2 linked regions of the Styela clava genome follow. The protein of the gene in region 1 interacts with the protein of each later gene in a pairwise test. Links are inferred from orthologs where the notes say so. Each region holds a gene or a part of one and is shown on either strand. Other genes may lie near its edges.

The links.
Region 2: the proteins of peripheral plasma membrane protein CASK-like (region 1) and ubiquilin-1-like interact in a two-hybrid assay, tested with the Caenorhabditis elegans proteins (2 studies listed by BioGRID). The link is inferred for Styela clava from reciprocal best matches to the Caenorhabditis elegans genes lin-2 and ubql-1.

What each region holds. Positions count from the first base shown.
Region 1 is NC_135256.1:839,579-849,203, forward strand, and holds the start of peripheral plasma membrane protein CASK-like, read left to right. Parts: upstream 1-5,573; 5' UTR 5,574-5,650; coding exon 5,651-5,712; intron 5,713-6,604; coding exon 6,605-6,717; intron 6,718-8,193; coding exon 8,194-8,299; intron 8,300-9,086; coding exon 9,087-9,164; intron 9,165-9,625. UniProt on the Caenorhabditis elegans protein: May play a structural role in the induction of the vulva. May be required for the localization of signal transduction molecules (such as let-23 receptor) to either the basal membrane domain or the cell junctions.
Region 2 is NC_135258.1:15,531,355-15,541,013, forward strand, and holds ubiquilin-1-like, read left to right. Parts: upstream 1-5,483; 5' UTR 5,484-5,629; coding exon 5,630-7,192; 3' UTR 7,193-9,564; downstream 9,565-9,659. Other genes in the region: uncharacterized protein LOC120339369, read left to right, coding at 9,565-9,659. UniProt on the Caenorhabditis elegans protein: May play a role in the ER-associated protein degradation pathway (ERAD) possibly via its interaction with ER-localized proteins ubxn-4 and cdc-48.1 and/or cdc48.2, providing a link between the polyubiquitinated ERAD substrates and the proteasome.

The sequences.
Region 1 (9,625 bases):
TCATGAACGACGACAAGTCTGTATCTGATCTATAAGCATAAACGGAAGGGGTGACGCGTAGAGCAGTTGGTGCAAATTTGATCAATGACTCTTGCGGTGTTGCGCAATTACTATTGCAGAAAGTAAACAGAGTATAGTTGCCAGATTCGTTCAACTTATTACTTCATAATTCGATACTAAAAAATATATAAAGAGAGAAAGAGTTTATTGGACACGTCAGTGGACATAACGACCGTTTTAATGTTGTTCTTGTTCCTTTTTTTCCTTTTTTCATCATTAAAAAATCGCTTTTCTCTTCCAATACTGACCCAATTGCTTCAAGATTTCCAGTGGTTGAAGATTGATTTTTTCGCCAGAAGGCCATTACTTTTACTTCTTTCAAAAATTTCTGTGAACTTTAGGAGATTCGTTTTTTATGTGTCGGAATAAAAAATAGCGGCACCTTGTAACGTGTCCCTATATTTGAGCATAGCTCCCTTGTTATTTTTGTCAACCAAAATACAAATAAATTTCAAATTAATAAACTACACAGCATTTATTTCGGTATGGACTGGGAGATGGTGATACGACCAAAGGTCAGGATAGGATTAGAGAGAGAGAGAGAAATTTATTTTATTTATTCCGGGAAAAAAGAAGGGGACGAGACTGCTCGATCAGAGAGAGAAAGATTTATTGATTCGTCAACCAAAACAAATATAAATATGAAAGCATAAATACAAATAAATAAACACTGTTCATGGTAAAGACTGGAGGGAGCGATACGACCATACGGTCATCCAAGTCAGCTCCCCCCATATTCACTGTTATACATAAGATTCACAGGTATTGGATTGAGTATATTGGATTAGATATAATAGAGTAATATACAATTAAATAATTGTAAAAAGCAAAATTACAAGGGGCTAATGATTGAAGTTAGTTATCACGCTCAGGCGCGCAGCCAGGATTTTCAAAGGGGGGGGGGGGTACATAATCATAAATTCCCATTGCAGCCTGTAACAGTCTTTGCATTACGCTCTCGTTAAAGGGACGTCTTTTCAGCGTATAATGATTATTCTTGTCGCGTGAAATATTCAATCTCTGACAACTACAAAATTCTAAAATGTCTTTATATATTAGTTTAATTGTGTCCAACGTAACTCGCGGTTGCTTCTTCTCACGTCAAAGTTAAAACATTAGTTCTCTGAAATGCCACGGCGATCGGTGGACATAAAAATATGAGATAAACGGTGTATTTAATTTTAATACGTATTTTTGGAATCTTGCCAACTCGTTATCGCCGTTAGAAAAATCTCAATAACTGATATAAAATCCCGAAAAGTACAATTTTATTTCGTACAATGAAAATGCATATGAAGTATATCGTTAAATCAAAAATACATATTCATCGCCGCGATTACGCCACTTGTTAAAAGAGCCGACGTTTACAACGAGAAATGATTTTTCTGTTGTGCAAAGTAATCAATTCGTGACCGATAAGGGCATATTTAAAATGTCTTGCTTTATTAATTTAATTTTCTTCAATTTAACCAGCGTTTGCGTCGACAAAACATATCAATTTTTTACATGTCACAATTTTAAAAAAACCTCGGCCATATGCCGACATAAAAATAAAAATTTGTGGTAACTGCCCGTGTCATATATTGTTTTGATCCGTATTTTTTCTATTTTGCAAATTCGACAAATTTGAGATGTGCTTGTAACATTGACTCCGTTCAATCGCAATGCTGACACTCCGATTATTTTTAAAGATAAAACCTCCTGAAAAATCCGTAAATCTGCTGTAAATTCTCATGGAGTAAAATTTATTTCAGTACAATAAAAATTGATGGATATACTTCGGATTAATTATCTTGTATATCATCACAAACCGGGAAAAAATCGCGTTTTCAACCTTGTTTAATGATAACACGAAAATTTTCTACGACAATTTTGGAGTGCTGGATAAAGGGCAAATCCCACCCACAATTAACCGTGTTTCGAATTTAGTGACGGTATGTTCCTAAACGGCGACCAAACATAATGTGCGCCGTAGGCACACGAAATTTTGCGATTTTGCGACTAGAAAATCGTTTTTAGACTGTCGCGGGACTCAACAAAACTTAAACTATTTACGGTTTTATTTTCAGTATTTCATAATGCCGCTTTTCAATCAAATTTAGATCGCGGTTTTACTCCTTCTTTTGTCTTTAGAACCTCGCCACCGATGAATGTGTAATAACTCACGAATTCACAATTCCGTGAAAAGTACAAAAATAAAATAATTATCATGTCTATCGTGGCACAAATTTATGATTTAGAAAGAATAAAAACCGATGTAAGGGCGTTTACGGCCTAAATAACACGCTGATGAAAACATAAGCGATTTTAGCAGAAGGCAATTGCACGCTTTTTCAGTTTTCACATTTCCGTGCGGGTACAAAAATAAAACAAGAGAGCTACGCCCAAATATATGGACACGTCTGTCCGCAGTACAGTACGGTTTACCGTACCGTCAGATCACAGTCTACAAATATATTCACACCAAGCGAAGCAGTACAGTAAGACACGAAATGGCGTCCGATGCCCGCAGAACGTTTAATGACGTCATAGCAAACAAAAACAAATCTCACAGAGCTAACAGAAATATTTAAAATGAATAAAAGTAATAGCCTTCTGGGGAAAAATTTTATCTTCAACCACTGAACATTTCAAAGCAATTGGTCCAGTATTCGAAGAGAAAGCGTTTATTTAATATTTCCACTAGGTGTGTTATTCTGTGTCAAATAACAAGAACAAAAACAAGAACAACATAATATTGAAACGATCGTTATGTCCACTACGTGTCCAATAATTATCATTGTTCCCGCGGCACAAATTTGTGATTTAAAGAGAATAAACACCAATGTAAAGGGCGTTCACGGCATAAATAACATGCCGCGTTGATGAAAACGAACGTCGATTTTAGCAGAAGGCAATTGCACGTGTTATCGGCAACTTTTTCACGTTTCAGAAAATTCAAAAGGGGGGGATCAAATGGCAAACACGATGGGTCCTCCAGTCCATGCCGGGTAAAGGATTATTCAGTCAGGTATTTGATTTTAAAAGTGTGGATAGTGATTCGAATTACGGTATTTCTATTTTCTTCGATCATTAATTGTTTGATTCATTTTTTTTTGTTTTTTTTGTATCAGTATATGAAACAATCAGAAGTTGTAGATTAAAAAATATAACGTAGTGCTCCCACTGAGCTTTGTTTAGAGCTAAATGTGTGAAATTAAAAAGTGTTTATGCGAAAAGATCGTCTCATTTGGAAGACCTGGCAATCAATATTCCCACTATGTGCTATGATCATTGATAAAGTTATTGAACCCGGGAGATGGCACCCAAGAGTCACACTTCAAAATCACAGACAGCTCGTACCAAATAACTTTCGAGTTGGATGATTCGTACCGCTCAAAGACAGACGAATTGTCCATAGATTTTATTGCTCCACAATGACCGTCAGGTCGGTTCTCTTGCGAAATGAATGAGAAATTTTGCTGATTGTGGTTTTAGTTTATTTGCTTGTAGGCTAGTTGTTGCTGAATTAACAGATTTTCATATTTGCAAATTAATGATTCTTTTGCGTGTCACGCGGACAAAATAATAACGGGGCCATACACTAAAATTGTTTCGATATTACCGTACCGGTACCGGTACGTTAGGATAGGATTAGGATAGGATTCACAAATCTCGTTCTGACGTTATTGTCAGTTTGTCGAACATGGGAATGGTTTTCTTGTTTTAGAAAACTCGATGTACCGGAATAGGTTTAGTAGCACTAATAAAGTAGACTAGTAGTATTTATTTTTTTCGTCATATAAATTGTGAGATACGGTAGGCTATAAAATTTGGATCATGAAAAATTCGGGTTCTTTTTACTTTGTAACTTCTGTATGGTTGTGTGAGAGTGTGTGAAATATTTCCATTATTTTGGGTGAGTGAACACGTACCACTTCTTCTTGGCACGACCTTCCATCTTGTATTGTGTACGTTTTAAACCTTGTCCAAGGTTTTGTTTGCTCTCCTGTTTTCATAATCAGTTTTTATTTTATCAGTTTCTACTTCAATTCTGCAATTGGTTGTTTTTGTCAAATTGCTTCCAAAGTGATGCCCGATCGCGTTTTTAAATCTGTGTTTGTTTCATTTATCTTCTGGTGGGCCGGCAAGTACATTGTACGCTTTTTAACCTTTTTTAAGTTATGCCTGTCTCCCAGGTATCACTGCATTTTGTTTTGTCCGTTTACTTTTTGTATTGTTTATGTCAGAGAACCAAAATGAATGATTGATTGATTTATTTTTTATACAAATCATTTAAGTGTTATGCTGATTACTGGATTATGGAGTCGAAATAAACTTATACTTATAGTATAGTTTAGTGGACTACCACAAGTACTTCTAGTGGAGCAGGCATAAAGAATTTTGCATATGTTATTCCTAACCCCTGACTACCTGACTATGCCATTTAAAAAGTACTTCGCTACAACATCACCATGTCATAGAGCCTGTCAAAATATATTTACGATCGCCCAGTTCACGATCGCCCATCACTGATACAGTGATAACTGGATAAGGAACTCGCTAACGTTGGGAATCTCTTTCATATCGTGATCGTTGCGACAAAAAAATGAGAGAAATAGCTTGCTCGATTTCGAGTGATCGCCTGTGCGTTTTGGACGACCTCAGCATACTTTGGGGGGGGGGGCTTTTTACGCCACTGTGATGTCAAAATGACGTAATTTTTCGGTAACGTAGTCAGGTGGGGGTTGGGATTGAAATATGCAAAAATTGTTTAGCCAGGCCAACTAGAAGTGCATGTGGTACTAAACTATACCAGACCCAAAAATTCTATCGTTAGATCATATTTCAATATTTGAAAATAAAACACCTTACAGACTTATATCTGTATATTGCTCTACATTTAGAGCAGATGTAAATAATCCCAATACTGTAATGGGTCAATAAGTGGAAAAAATATAGAAAATTCCAGAGTGAACAAACGATTCATGATAGCCTAGTTTTGCAAAATTCACGAGAAGCCTTATTTTAAATAGGAAGTTTGTGATAGATCTAAGTGTTATTGCATTTGCTAATTTGTTTGTTCATTGTTTTATGTCGATGTAATTATTGAAATAACCTAATTGTTGTAGATAATTATTACTTCTGGACCAAGCTTGAAAAATACTGAAATATGAAACTCACTCAACTGGATTATGAATTTAAAATGGAAAAAAAAAATGAATAAATATATATATTTATATATTAATAAATTATATATTTGCTATATTCCAGTGGGTTGAGGTAGTGAAAGATGACTTTAAAACTTATCTAGCTGTGACTCACTAGTTGTGTGTAACCAATAACCATACTGTTTATATTCATAGTTTTTCATATCGAGTCGTGGGTCGGATGTAAAAGGATCACTCAGAAGAGTATTTGCTCACCACTGTCTGACTGTTCTATTGTAACATGTAAACATGGGTTTGTGAAATCTGGCAATATCTTTCCTCACAAGTTAACTTTATTCCGTTCATATATTCTGCAACAGAAATATATTTATCACATTTTAAGTACTTAGATCTGACTATGAATAACAAGTAATAAATCAATTGCTGAGTGATCTTTCATAATGAACAATATGGTAGAGGAGAGATTCGAGACCCACTATGAACAGCACGAGACCATCGGAAAGTGAGTAATTTTTTATTTTTATGACTCGTAGGAGGCGCAGTTCTTACCACTTCATGGCAACCGAATGAACCGATGGCAGCTCCTGCCCTGTTGATGGCGCTATTACCGGTATATTCACAAAGCCAGATTTTATTTTATCATGCAGAATTATATCTACTTAACCTAAAACCTAACCCCAAATCCATTAAAACTGTATCTATAAGGAACTGTTCCAGCTTACCCAATATTTATCACCATCCGGGACAGCCCTGCCATTACAGCTGACATGCTGTGGTTATGGCAGCAAAATTTCACCCGCCTTTAGTTTTCAATTTGCTGCTGTTGTATCGGCAGCCAACCATTGGTTCGTGGCAGTCAAAAAGACAGTCGCCATGGGTTTGGCCATAGTGTCCATGGTCCGGAAATCTCACCTGAGCTTCAGACGCCACAAAATACTTGAAATTGCACTTGACTCATAGCGGTGCTTTTAGCTTCGAACATGGCCTTCTACAAACGGCCACTGAAATCTGATGTTATGTGAGAAGCTTTTATTGTATTTGAAAATGCCTGAATCTTGTTGGAGTGGAGCAATATCATGATATATATTAAGCATGATCTACCCAAAATTTCAGTGGCTTCGGATGCTGATCAGTGACCATATAATTATTTTTTTACAGTTATAAATTGTTCAAATATTGTTCATTTCATTTTTACTTAACTTTCAATTCATTTGTTCTCATTTATAATAACATCTATAATTTGTTTATCCCCTGAAATATTTTCGAATTTGGGATTCATACACGAGCCTCAGTCTCCAGAAAACCAATGATATCATGCTGAGCATTCCAGGAAAATACCAGTTACCAGATTGACAATAAAAACATTTTCAACAAAATACATTTTCCTGTTACAGAGGTCCATTCAGTTTTGTCAGACGTTGCACTCATCGAAGATCAAAACTCCAGTACGCTGTTAAAATCGTTGACGTGGCAAAGTTCACTGGAAGTCCTGGACTTACTGCCCACGGTGAGTTATTTTTTTTACAATCCAAACGGCCCTCAAACTTTCATGATCATGGCCCAACACTCATAACACCTTTTGGTACTCCAGAAGTATGTGAACCAAGATGGCGGACACCGGAATCTAGTATGTGTACCAGGTTAGGGTTAGTCCATAATTTCAGGTGCAAATACTACGGGAGTCACGGTGACCGCCATCTTGGTGCACATACTTCTGAAGCGTCCGTTTTTTGTATTCTATATTTCTGACTCTAAGATAGTTGATGCAATGCAAGGAAAGAAGTGGATTTTCTGGGTAGTTTTTTTTTTTCCAGGGTTCTGCTTATTATTAACTTTTGGTCATGATAGGGTTACTTCGATTCAAACCCCGTTGGGGGTGAGACGTAGCTGATTAGAATACTTGATCGCTCATCTATCTCTCACCAACACTCAGATGCTAATTTCCACACATTCGATTGAACCTGGTTGACTGATTCGAAAGCAATAAATGATTTTATTGAGAGATGATATACAAGGTGGTCGCTAGAAAAGTAGAAATAGGTCAGATGAGATAACGAATAAATAGGCAGCGTTTCCCAAAAGGAGCGAACCCCTGACATCTCTATCACAATCATGCTTTAGATTGAGATTAGTCAAATGGCAAAAATTGTGAGCACAAAAAAAATCTTGCATTTTAGAATACATACCTATACTACCTTTCATTGGAAGGGAATTATGGCCAATCCGGGACAGCTGTCCCATGACAATTACAGTGGTGATATTATATTTCACATAATGCATTCCCTGTGGGCATTGCAATTTCTGAAAGTTTTCTTCAGGGGTATTCAACCTCTTTTGATGGAGCGAATGAAACATTTCAGAGTTTTTTTTTATGTCAAATTGCAACAGTGTTCAGTAAAATTCTTTGACCATCTGTCAATAATGCATTTTACAAATCATTGTTCGGAATCACAAAGAGTTTTTCATGCAAACTTGGGTCCACTTTCAATACCAATGCACTGTGTCAAAATGACCATTTTCGAAAATTGACTATCCCAAATTATTTTTAAAAAATTTAAAATTTGAAATTCTGTTATAATCAACTCGATTTCTAATTATTCCTGCCGATAGCAAATTGAACACGCATAACTTCTGATCAATATATTGCTTTATCTTGGAGTCTAGATTTTAGGAGTCTAATATATAACTAAAGTAGTAACTAGTCGACAACAACTAACGGATTAGTTCACAGATGAAATTCAATACATATAGCAGATAATTTTACGTTACAATTCCAAAATTTTGAGTTTCTCTCTTATTCACGTCACGCGTCGAGAATGCGATACGCTTTACGTGAGTAACGACATCTCTCAAATAGCTGTAAAAACAACCTTTTCAGCGACATCTTTGCGTCGTTCTTGGCATTTTCTGGATAATGAGATAAGTGACCTAGAGATCCTAGGTTACAATTACAATTTAATTCTTATTCCTGCATGTTCCACAGATTTGAAGAGAGAAGCGACAATATGTCACATGCTGAAACATCCTAACGTTGTTGAACTCTATGAAGTTTACAGCGAGGAAGGATTGCTGTACATGGTCTTCGAATAGTGAGTATTACTTTACTTGAAACAAAATAAAAGTTTTATTAAAGCAGGGATGGGCAAACTACAACTCGCAGGCCCCATGCGTTCGTCAGAGAATTTTGGGACTTCCCGAAGTATGTGCACCAAGATGTCGCACCACCTGAACATAGTATGCGTACCAGGTTAGGGTTCAGGTTGTGCACCATCTTGGTGCACATACTTCGTGAGCGCCAAATTTTGTACCCTGTTTGTTTAGAAAGTTACTTGCCACCACATACAAAATTTGATTTATTTCAAATTTTATTATAAATAACCAAACCAATGGTTCTCAAACTTTTTAAGTCGCGCCCCCTTTTCTAAAATTAGTCAAGTCTCACCCCCACCTTAAAAATAACCAGCTCACACTAGGCTACAAATAACAGATGTTAATGCGGAAGTATGTTTATTAAAAAAAACTTTTGAAAATACATGGATGGAAGTATTATTTTATTTGCAATTAACTTCACCCCCCCCCTCAATAATTATTTACCTCCATACAGGGACACATACTTCTGGGTCGCCCATTTTATTCGATCATTTTAAAAAAATTCTGCTGCTAATCATTGGATCTCAACATTTGACTCGTAGCTTTTAGGAGGATATGCTAGAGTTCTGTTCTGTGAAATGACGCTAAAGAGCCCTTTTCCAATGACATTTGACCTATGCAACTGCTGAAAAATTAAAAAAAAAAATTGCATATTCAATGACTTTCGTGTATGGTACAGCGTTAACTAAATTTTTATTCAAAAATTTCATGAAATTATTTTTTTAGCATGGACGGCGCTGATCTTTGCTTCGAAATCGTGAAACGAGCGAACATGGGATTCGTCTACAGCGAAGCCGTTACAAGGTTAGAGATTTATTTGTTGTGGCACTTTCATTAAAACAAGGCTTATATGCAAAGAGCCACATTTATTGTGGGGATTAGTCACTACCCAATTCAGTATTCCCTGCCAAAATTATCTGGAGGGGGTGCATTGGATTCAAACTCAAGATATTACGATAACTGGAGTCAGAACCGCTTTGTGATAATGGGCTAATTCAGCACCATGTCTAAATTTGGTGTATGACATTGTCATTGCCAAGGAGCCACTTATATGCAATCAATGAGCTATTTTTATTGTACACGACAGCAATATTGACCGAATCAGGATTTAGGATTGTTGTGAGGACCCAGCCGTAATATGCTCGTTTTACCGCCCGATCTTCATTAAGGGCCCGTTTGAATAGCCGCCCGTGTGAACAGAACATAAAAATAAATAAGGGCCGGTGCTTGAATACCCGCCCGATGTAAAAGCTGATTTTTCAGTG
Region 2 (9,659 bases), on another chromosome or scaffold:
GTGTCACTTGACTCATTACTGAAGGCATATCAAAATAGCTTACTTTAATTAATTGCATCGTAAATTGCCTTGTAAATCTGCACGTATGCAAATATGGACTCGACACTTCTTTTACATATTAATATAGGTGTCTGCAGACGTTTCGTTTTGCACGGGCGCTGGGAATAGCGGTGTTTTAAACTCATACCAAGTTGTCTACCGTAATGGTATATTCGATAAATGTTTACCACTTTTATTAAACCAATACCCATAGTGGCGTACGCAGAATTTTGTGACAATTTTATGTCAAATTTTATTTTCACACAACGAGGAAATTCACTGTGATATTTGATTGATATTTTTCTTCTTTATTGTCAAATATTTAAATAACACAATTTTAGTAGCGAAAATAGATAAATTAATTGGGAAGGTAGTTTGGATGAGGAATAGCTCAAAACGAGTAAGAATTGAGGGCGTTCTTAATAAATTCCGTGTACATATGTGTACAGTGTGTGAAAACTTCAGTATACATAAGGTCACATTTCTTAATATATATATTTCATAAAATTCTGTTGTTAGTGATTATATTTATATTTAGTATATAATAATTGGAATCTAAAAACAAGTTCAAATGATGATAAAACATCATAGTATCAGATATTGTGACGTTATAATACCCGTTTCCAGTGCAGCAGGTTGGCCGCGAACATGGTCCTTCCACAAAAAAAAAATTGTTTCAGATATCAACATTCGGATGCCAACTCATTTTAAAAACATTCTGGATCTCATTGAACAGCAGAATCGGAAGCATATTATTAGCCGATACCGAACATATACCAATACCGAAATAAATGCCGATATCAGTACATTTCTATATTTATCCCGGGGAGATGAAAGCCGATTAGACGGCTCAAACATCTTGCGGAACACGGTCACTTGTCCGGTTACCGGTCCATGTAGGGTATGAGATTAGTTAATAACAAGTTATTTGTTTCAGATACATGGACTTGATGGTTGAGAAAGTCGTAACTGACCAGCGGTTATTTGAACCAGCCTGCGGCGGCGCCTCGCCTCGCATATACCGTGTTCCCCCGAAAATAAGACAGTGTCTTATTTTAACTTTCTTCCGAAAAATAACACTTGGGCTTATTTTGGGGAATGTCTTTTATTATCATTTATCAAAAACAAAATTACAAAGTGGAGAATTACGAGATTTTTCGAATATACAAAATATGACAACAACCGATATCCATTTACTTATTAATAACACGTTTTTATTAAAATTTTCATTTATTTATTTATTGAAACGTATAGGAGAGATTCCTTGCCATCGACTATGCCAGGAAAACAAATTCGCACTATCGACTAGGTCTTATCTTTAAAACTCGGGCTAGGTCTTATTTTCGAGGAAACACGGTAATTCTCATCCCGCGCGGGATTCGAACCAGCTAACCCACGCAGGTGCGGTAGCGAGCGTATTCCTAACGCTCAGCGCGAAACACCGCCGAGCAATTAAAACAGAACATTTACTTTACCTAACAAAAGGCAAAGAAGAAGCTGAATGGCGACGTTGGCTGAGATGACGTATTATGAAAAAAAATGAGAGGGTAGAAAATGGCGAATGTAGTGCAATTTTTGTAATTCGGATCCACCTTAGACGAATACTGTAAAGGTAATTAGACGGTATATTATACTGATGCTTCTTCTTTGCCATTTCGCTTTTTATGCCAATTAATCCAAGACCGTGATTCAATTTTGTATGCGGGTTTTTTTTAAATAAATTTTAAATGGAAACGTACATAAGCATTCTTTTTGTTTTCACAATTACAAGACCAGTCTGTCGATGTATTACACTGATATTTCGAAGTAAAATACGTGGTTAGTGCGTCTTAGTATAATTCTTGTTCAAGCACTTTTCCATTTCAGATGTCTTCAGTTATATTTTTTTATCATATAGAATAAAAATGTGTGCTACTTCTATTTTCTTCAAAAATGCCTTCTGTCAATCTAATATAGACACCATCAAACTCCCGATTATGCATAGGTGTGAACAAAATTTCAGAGCCAAAATTTGTTCCCAAAACTTCAATTGTACTGATTAAATTTGTTGTTAATCAAGTTTCTCGACAATCACTAAGCTTATATTTAATTTTTTCTATTTTTATTACGCCCGTGATGTTTGCTGGCATACCTTCCACAGAGATAAACGTAGTTATACCTCATCAGAGCATGAATGTCACATCGCATTGTTATGCATTGTCTCTGGTTAGAGACGCCTGCTAGCTAGTGCACTGTCCATGCTCATTTTGTCATTTTAGTTCAGTGCTCACGACCTCGATTTGATATACTTACATATTATAATAATAAAAAACAAGAGAGCTATGCTCAAATATATGGAAACGCCACAAGTTGTCGCTATTTTTTATTGCAACACATATTGCACACAAGAAAAGAAAGCTCTTGAGGTTCACAGAAATTTTTAAAATAAGTGAAAGTGATAGTCTTCTGGCAAAGCAATCTTTAACCACTGAAAATTTCAAAGCAATTTGTCCTGTATTCGAAGAGCAATTTTATTATGACAACGGAGAAGAAAAACAAAAACAATAACATAATGTTGAAACGATCATTATGTCCACCAAGTGTCCAATAAGGAAGCAATACTCAAATACATGAACACGAAAGCCGAAACAAAATATTTTACTCACAATTTCCCCAAAAATCATATCTTGGACGAAGCTGAAACTGTGGACCATCGTAAATCACCAGTATCGTTACCCGGACTGCCCTAGCTTCAACAGATCCTGTAACAATGATGATTTATGCGTCTTGTGCAACGTGAAAAAAATGGAAATTGGAATATACGATGCTAATTGTAAAATAATTTCAATCAAAAACAATTTCGAAGAGTTATTAAAACTTCAAGTCGGTGCTAATTGAAATCCACTGATTTTGGCTGTAATTTATTGCCGCGCCGCCCAGGCCTGCTGTCTTCGAATATGATAAAAAATAAAATAATCGTTTTTATCAAAACGTGGACATTAACGCTAGGACGTGTGCGCGATATTCGGTATTCTTATAAACACAAAAAACGAAGGTCGCGATATTTGCTTATGAATTCGAATTGGATATCCAGGAGTCATAGGCCCCTGCCACTTCGGCACCTGCAAGTCAGTCATTCCCCATAAAAGTAAAATTCAGCATCACTTATATCGAGTATAAAACAAAACAAAAAAACAGTCGCTTCCCGGGAAATCATAGTGACACTACCTGCCAAATCTCATAAAAAATCTTCAGCTTATTTTTAGAAACAGCTTTTACATCCATCTGTAGTGCTTTCAATCACATTACTCGGTCTTCGGTGACCTCATCCACGTTACTCCTATCGGGATATTTCGTCAATTCGTCCTCCTAAGGTTCAACTTTTTAGTGACTTCGACACCCTCCTTATTCGTCGGAAAAAATTTCATCCACTTCTTCCTTTTAGTGTTCAGCTATTTAGTGACTTCAACAACCTCATTAAATGTAGGGAGAAATTTCATCCACTTCTTTCTTTTAATGTTCAGCTTTTAGTGACTTCAGACACTCAATAAATGTCAAAAAAATTTTATCCACTTCTTCCTTTTAGTGTTCAGATTTTAAGTAACTTCAACCAGCTCATTAAATGTCGGAAGAAATTTCATCCACTTCTTCCTTTTAGTGTTCAGCTTTTTAGTGTTTTCAACAACCTCATTATTCGTCGGAAGAAATTTCATCCAATTCTTCCTTTTAGTGTACGGCTTTTTAGTGACTTCAGCCACCTCACCACCCGTCGGAAGAAATTTCATCCAATTCTTCCTATTACTGTTTAGCTTTTTAGTGACTTCAGCCACCTCACCACCCGTCGGAAGAAATTTCATCCGCTTCTTTCTTATAGTCTTCAGCTTTTTAGTGACTTCAACCACCTCACCACCCGTCGGAAGAAATTTCATTCACTTCTTCCTTTTAGTGTTCAGCTTTTTAGTGTTTTCAACCACCTCATTATCTTTCGGAAGAAATTTTGTCCACTTCTTCCATTGAGTGTCCAGCTTTTTAGTGTTTTCAACAACCTCACCACCGGTCGCAAGAAATTGTATCCATTTTTTTCCTTTTAGTGTTCAACTTTGTAGTGACTTCAACCACCTCACTATTCGTCGGAAGAAATTTCACCAACTTCTTTTATTTAATGTTCAGATTTTTAGTGTTTTCAACCACCTCATTATTCGTCGGAAAAAATTCAATCCACTTCTTCCTTTTAGTGTTCAGTTTTTTAGTGTTTTCAACTACCCTACCACCCGTCGGAAGAAATTTCATCCACTTCTTCCTTTTAGTGTTCAGCTTTATACTGATTTCAACCACCCCACCACCCTTCGAAAGAAATATCATTCACTTCTTCCTATTACTGTTTAGCTTTTTAGTGACTTCAACCACCTCACCACCTGTCGGAAGAAATTTCCTCCACTTTTTGGACACGTAGTGGACATAGCGATCGTTTCAATATTATGTTGTTGTTCTTGTTCTTTGACACGTTTTTAAAAAGTCGCTTTTCTCTTTGATTACTGGACCAATTGCTTTGAAATTTTCAGTGGTGAAAGATAAAAATTTTCTTCAGAAGCCTTTACTCTTTTTTTGCTATGACGTCGTCAAAATTATTGCCATTAGGTAGCGCTACGTGTCCATAATATATTTGATCATAACTCTCTTGTTCTTTTTAGTGTTCAGCCTCTTAGCATTTTTAAATATTTCTCATCTGGGAACACTTCAACCTCCGGAATTCATTCACTTCATCCGTTTCTTCTTTTATTTAGCCTTTTAGTGTTGTCCCGATTTTTTTCATAACAACAAGAACATGACAAAGAATTCTAACAACAACATAATATTTAAACGATCCATTTCGTGTCCAATAAATCTATAACTTCACGTGTACTTAAATATAGATTTCGCTTACTGCACGTAAAATATTGGCAATAGTGGAATGTTCGAGAAGCCGTTAGATGTCAGCTACAAAGCACAATGAAAATTTGCCAGAGTTTTTTAAATAAATCCCACACGCAAAATTCATGTTCCTTTTCATTTATGTATCAACAACATAATGCAGTTTCATAATAAGTTATTTGAGTGCTAAACAAAAACGTCATGACTTTTGTTAACAGTACTGCATTAATAATTTCAATTATTTTTGAAGAACAGTATGTAACAGTCTAACTTCAGATAAATACAACCAATAAAAACAAAAAATACATTTTTATGGTCAATAAAACTGAAGTAAATTATTTAAGTTTACGATATAAAAATATTTTAACGTAATTTATGAAAAAGCTCAATAATAATGATAATAGTCTAAGTCAATGCCATTATACAAACATTTCAATCTTCAATATAAACTGGAATTCCAATACTAAAATTTCTATATCCATACATTGTATCGTATGATGATATTAGGATGTACACCTACTATTTTGCGTATAGGATCTAACTGATATTACAGTGCTGAAGTTTCGCACGCTTCTGAAATCTGGAAGCTTGTTAACTTTTTGTGGTATCATCCTACTCATTTCTAGTTTAGTCTTTATAATTGGACACGTTACAAGGAAGCAACGCGCAATTTTGGGAAATATAAAATAATTTCATCGCTATGGCGGATTCGGAAAACTCAGAACTAATTAAAATTTCGATTAAGACGCCAAAAGAAAAAAAAGATGTTGAGATTAGCGGAAAAGGAACTGTGAAAGAATTACGTGAAAAGGTTGCGGAAAAATTTGCGTCATCGCCAGAAAAAGTCGTTCTAATATTTGCGGGAAAAATTTTAAAGGACAATGAAAGCGTTGAAACGCACAAGCTCAAAGATGGACAGACAATTCATCTTGTAATCAAGAGTCTTCCACAAGCTCAATCTAGTACATCAGGTCAGAGCGCGACATCTTCTCAATCATCTGCATCAACAGCAACCGCAACTGAAAGTCGTCCGAATCAACCTCCCCGAATGCCAGGATTTAATTCAACAAATTTGATGGACATGCAACAGCAAATGCAACAAGAAATGATGCGTAATCCTGATCTAATGCAGCAAATAATGGGAAATCCAATGGTTGAAAACATGCTGTCAAATCCTGAAGTAATGGGACAATTGATGAGGGCCAACCCTCAAATGCAGGCTTTGATAGAACAAAACCCCGAAGTCGGCCATTTACTGAACAATCCAGAGTTGATGCGCCAAGCATTGGAATATACAAGAAACCCAGCAATGTTACAAGAAGTGATGAGGAATCAAGATCGAGCCTTGAGCAACCTAGAAAGTATTCCTGGAGGTTACAATGCATTGCGTAGAATGTACACAGATGTTCAGGAACCAATGTTGAATGCTGCCCAAGAGCAATTTGGCGGAAATCCTTTTGCTAGTCTCATTCAGAACAGCAATAATTCAAGTGGTGATAACAATGCACAAAGAGGTGTTGAAAACACAGAACCACTGCCAAATCCATGGGGAGGTTCTGGCACTAGATCAACCGCAGCGACTACGACCACTCCAACAACAGGTAGTTCTACCAACACGTCATCTTCTGCTGCCCCTGGTGTCGGTGGAATACAAAACATGATGCAGGATATGATGCAAAACCCTAGCGCAATGCAAAATCTTATGTCAAGTCCATACATGCAAAGTGCGATGAATATGATGGCACAAAATCCGCAGATGACTGCTGCAGCAATGCAAAACAATCCCATGATTGCCAATAATCCCCAACTCCAGTCAATGATTCCAACAATGATTCAACAAATGCAGAATCCGGAGTTTCAAGCAGCAATGCAAAATCCTAGAGTATTGCAAGCAATGACTCAAATTCAACAAGGCATGGATGTATTATCACGTGAGGCACCACAACTGTTGTCAGGAATGACATCCATGCCAATGATGCCTCGAGCACAAACGACTTCGACACCATCTTCCACGACATCGACAACCCCATCACAGCAGTCAACTAATCCTCTTGCGAGTGATCCCGAGGCTTTGTCACGGATAATGATGTCACTGGCAGCCACGAACCCATCTGCGAACACTCAACCCCCTGAAGAAAGATTTCGAACCGAACTTGAGCAATTGACAGCTATGGGATTTATGAATAGAGAAGCCAATATTCAGGCTTTAATAGCAACAGGCGGAAATGTTAATGCAGCAATTGAAAGGCTACTATCTCGTTAATATTGTATTTAAAAATTGATTGGATTGATATTTTGTTGTATTAACATAATCCCTGCAACCACATGATATATATCTTATTCTGCAATCAGAAATAATTTACTATATCATTTGTTTTGTAAATAATTACTGTAGCTTAATTGTATTATGTCAGGGTTGGAATTGGAATATTTCTGATCAATTTAGTGATATGACTCAAACAGACTAATTTTATTGAGATTTGATTTCTACTTTGGAGTTGATATTGGCTCCAACTAGGGTTGGTCAAATATTTCTAAGGCGGATTGAATTCTGAACAAGAAATCTAATACACCATATTTTTATTATCAATCTATGACATGACATACATGACAATTTTAATGAAATTACTTGTATCATAAATAACCAAATTAACAGTATTCTTGTATCTTCGTAAATGTCTGCAGGTCTAAATTGAATTTTATAATGAAACGCCAGTTACACTTTAAAAAACTAGATGTAGGTGATACAAATATTTAATTTGATTATTGAAGTCATATTATAATCTGATTTTCTCAACCCCTGGTTCCAACCCTGACATTTTAAAGCATCTTTCGTTTTTATCACAGGATAATTTATTTCCATCCCGTGTACAGGTACTTGCTGGAGAAATTCAGCTTAAGTGGTTATTTATGAAAAAGCCAATAATCATATCTTGATAATCACTTTTGTTGCATTGCAGGCTATATAACTCAATGTGTAAATGTATACCTTGTTATATGAGAGGTATTAGTTGTTTCTCTTGTTGAATTTTGATTTTATTTGTCAATTTTTTTGCATTGTATATATTAGACAAGGAATGAGCAAGGTTGGACATGGTACTTCTTAATAGGAGATTTTCTAAAGTATAATCTTATGAAGGCTTCATTCTCTCTTGTGTTTAGGATGAGACAATGAAAAAATCCTAGTCGAATTCAACATTCTTTGTGTTTGTTTGCTACAAAAACCAACTAATTTTTTGATAATTGCTTAAATTAATCCTTCTAAATAATTTTCACATACTCTTTGATTAGCTGTGTGGAAACTGATTGGTCTTCAGTTTTATTAAAAAACTAACATTTTTTTCAGTCTGACATAATAGGTAATTTTTTTTTGTCTGGCGTGTGCTGAGTAATATAGCACAGTTCGTCCAATATCCATTTTCTAGAAAATAGAATATTAAGATGGCATATAACATTCATTCTCTTACTAGATTTGGAAACACATTGGTTAATCAATATCACTGAATTTATTGCTCTAATTTAAGTCAGCTTAACATATAGTTATATGCTTTTAGTGTATTCGATCAGTTTGACTGCCGTAATTGTAAATAATATCCAGCAGTATTCACCCCATTGTTCCATGTTATAATTCGTTCAAATCCTCATGTCTATTATTCAGTGACTGCTTTACAATTGGAGTCATCAAAATGTGAATATGTAATTGGGTAATATAATAACTTGTGATTCACAAACAGTCAATTCCTCATTACAAATGAATGTCAATGCATAGGTTCTGTTTTGCTAATCGCTAATATATTATAATAACAGCTAATAAATCATCAATGTTTCTTATGTATTTTCTTCAGAGACTGGTGCTTATAGGCATAGCGATCACATTTTCCATGCCTCATTTCTTTGGTTTCAGTGTAATATGTAATATTTCTAATCATCTTTTGATATACCGTAATTTCCAAAGAGCCAATTTTGAATTGTTGAAGATCTTGCTTCGAAAATGCAGAATTGTTGCTTAATTTACGAGTTTTATTCATTTGATGTTAGATGTGTTTGAGTACAAGATATTAATGCATACAGAAAAATGTGACCCCTCGTCTTTAATTACTGGTTTGGCAAAAAAAAATTTTGGTGTGGGCAAAATGCTATTTATATTGGACCCCATGCATATTGAAATATATATTTTAATATTTGTGTTTGAATATTGAGTCATTGGTAAATATAACGGACATTAAAATTGGCTTTCAAATTTCACAATTGCTAATACTGTATTTCATAACTAACTGTATGTTGTATGTAAATGATATATGTTGTATAATATTTGCTTTGTGATTTAATTATTCATTATGCTCTGCCATACTTTCATCTTATATAAGTTTATTTGAAATGTGGTTTTTGTGTTACTACATATAAATGAACATGGGAATGATGTCATTCGTGAAAAATTTGTCAATTATTTTTCCAATATTAATGAGAATGTTATCTATGTTCAAACAAAAGTTTTTTCCCGTAACAGTCTGCTTTCAGTAAATATAGGGAAAAAAACAAGCAGGCAATATGGATGTGGCCCTTCTATGGCTTATATACTCTTATATAAATATAATTTGTGACTGAGTAAATTTGTTATCAATCTTGTGTAATATTATGTCTTTTCAGTGCACTTGCCATCGACCCATGGCATCTTTACTGAGACATGGGTTGCCTCAAATGGTGAGGCGATGCAAACCAAACCTAATAAC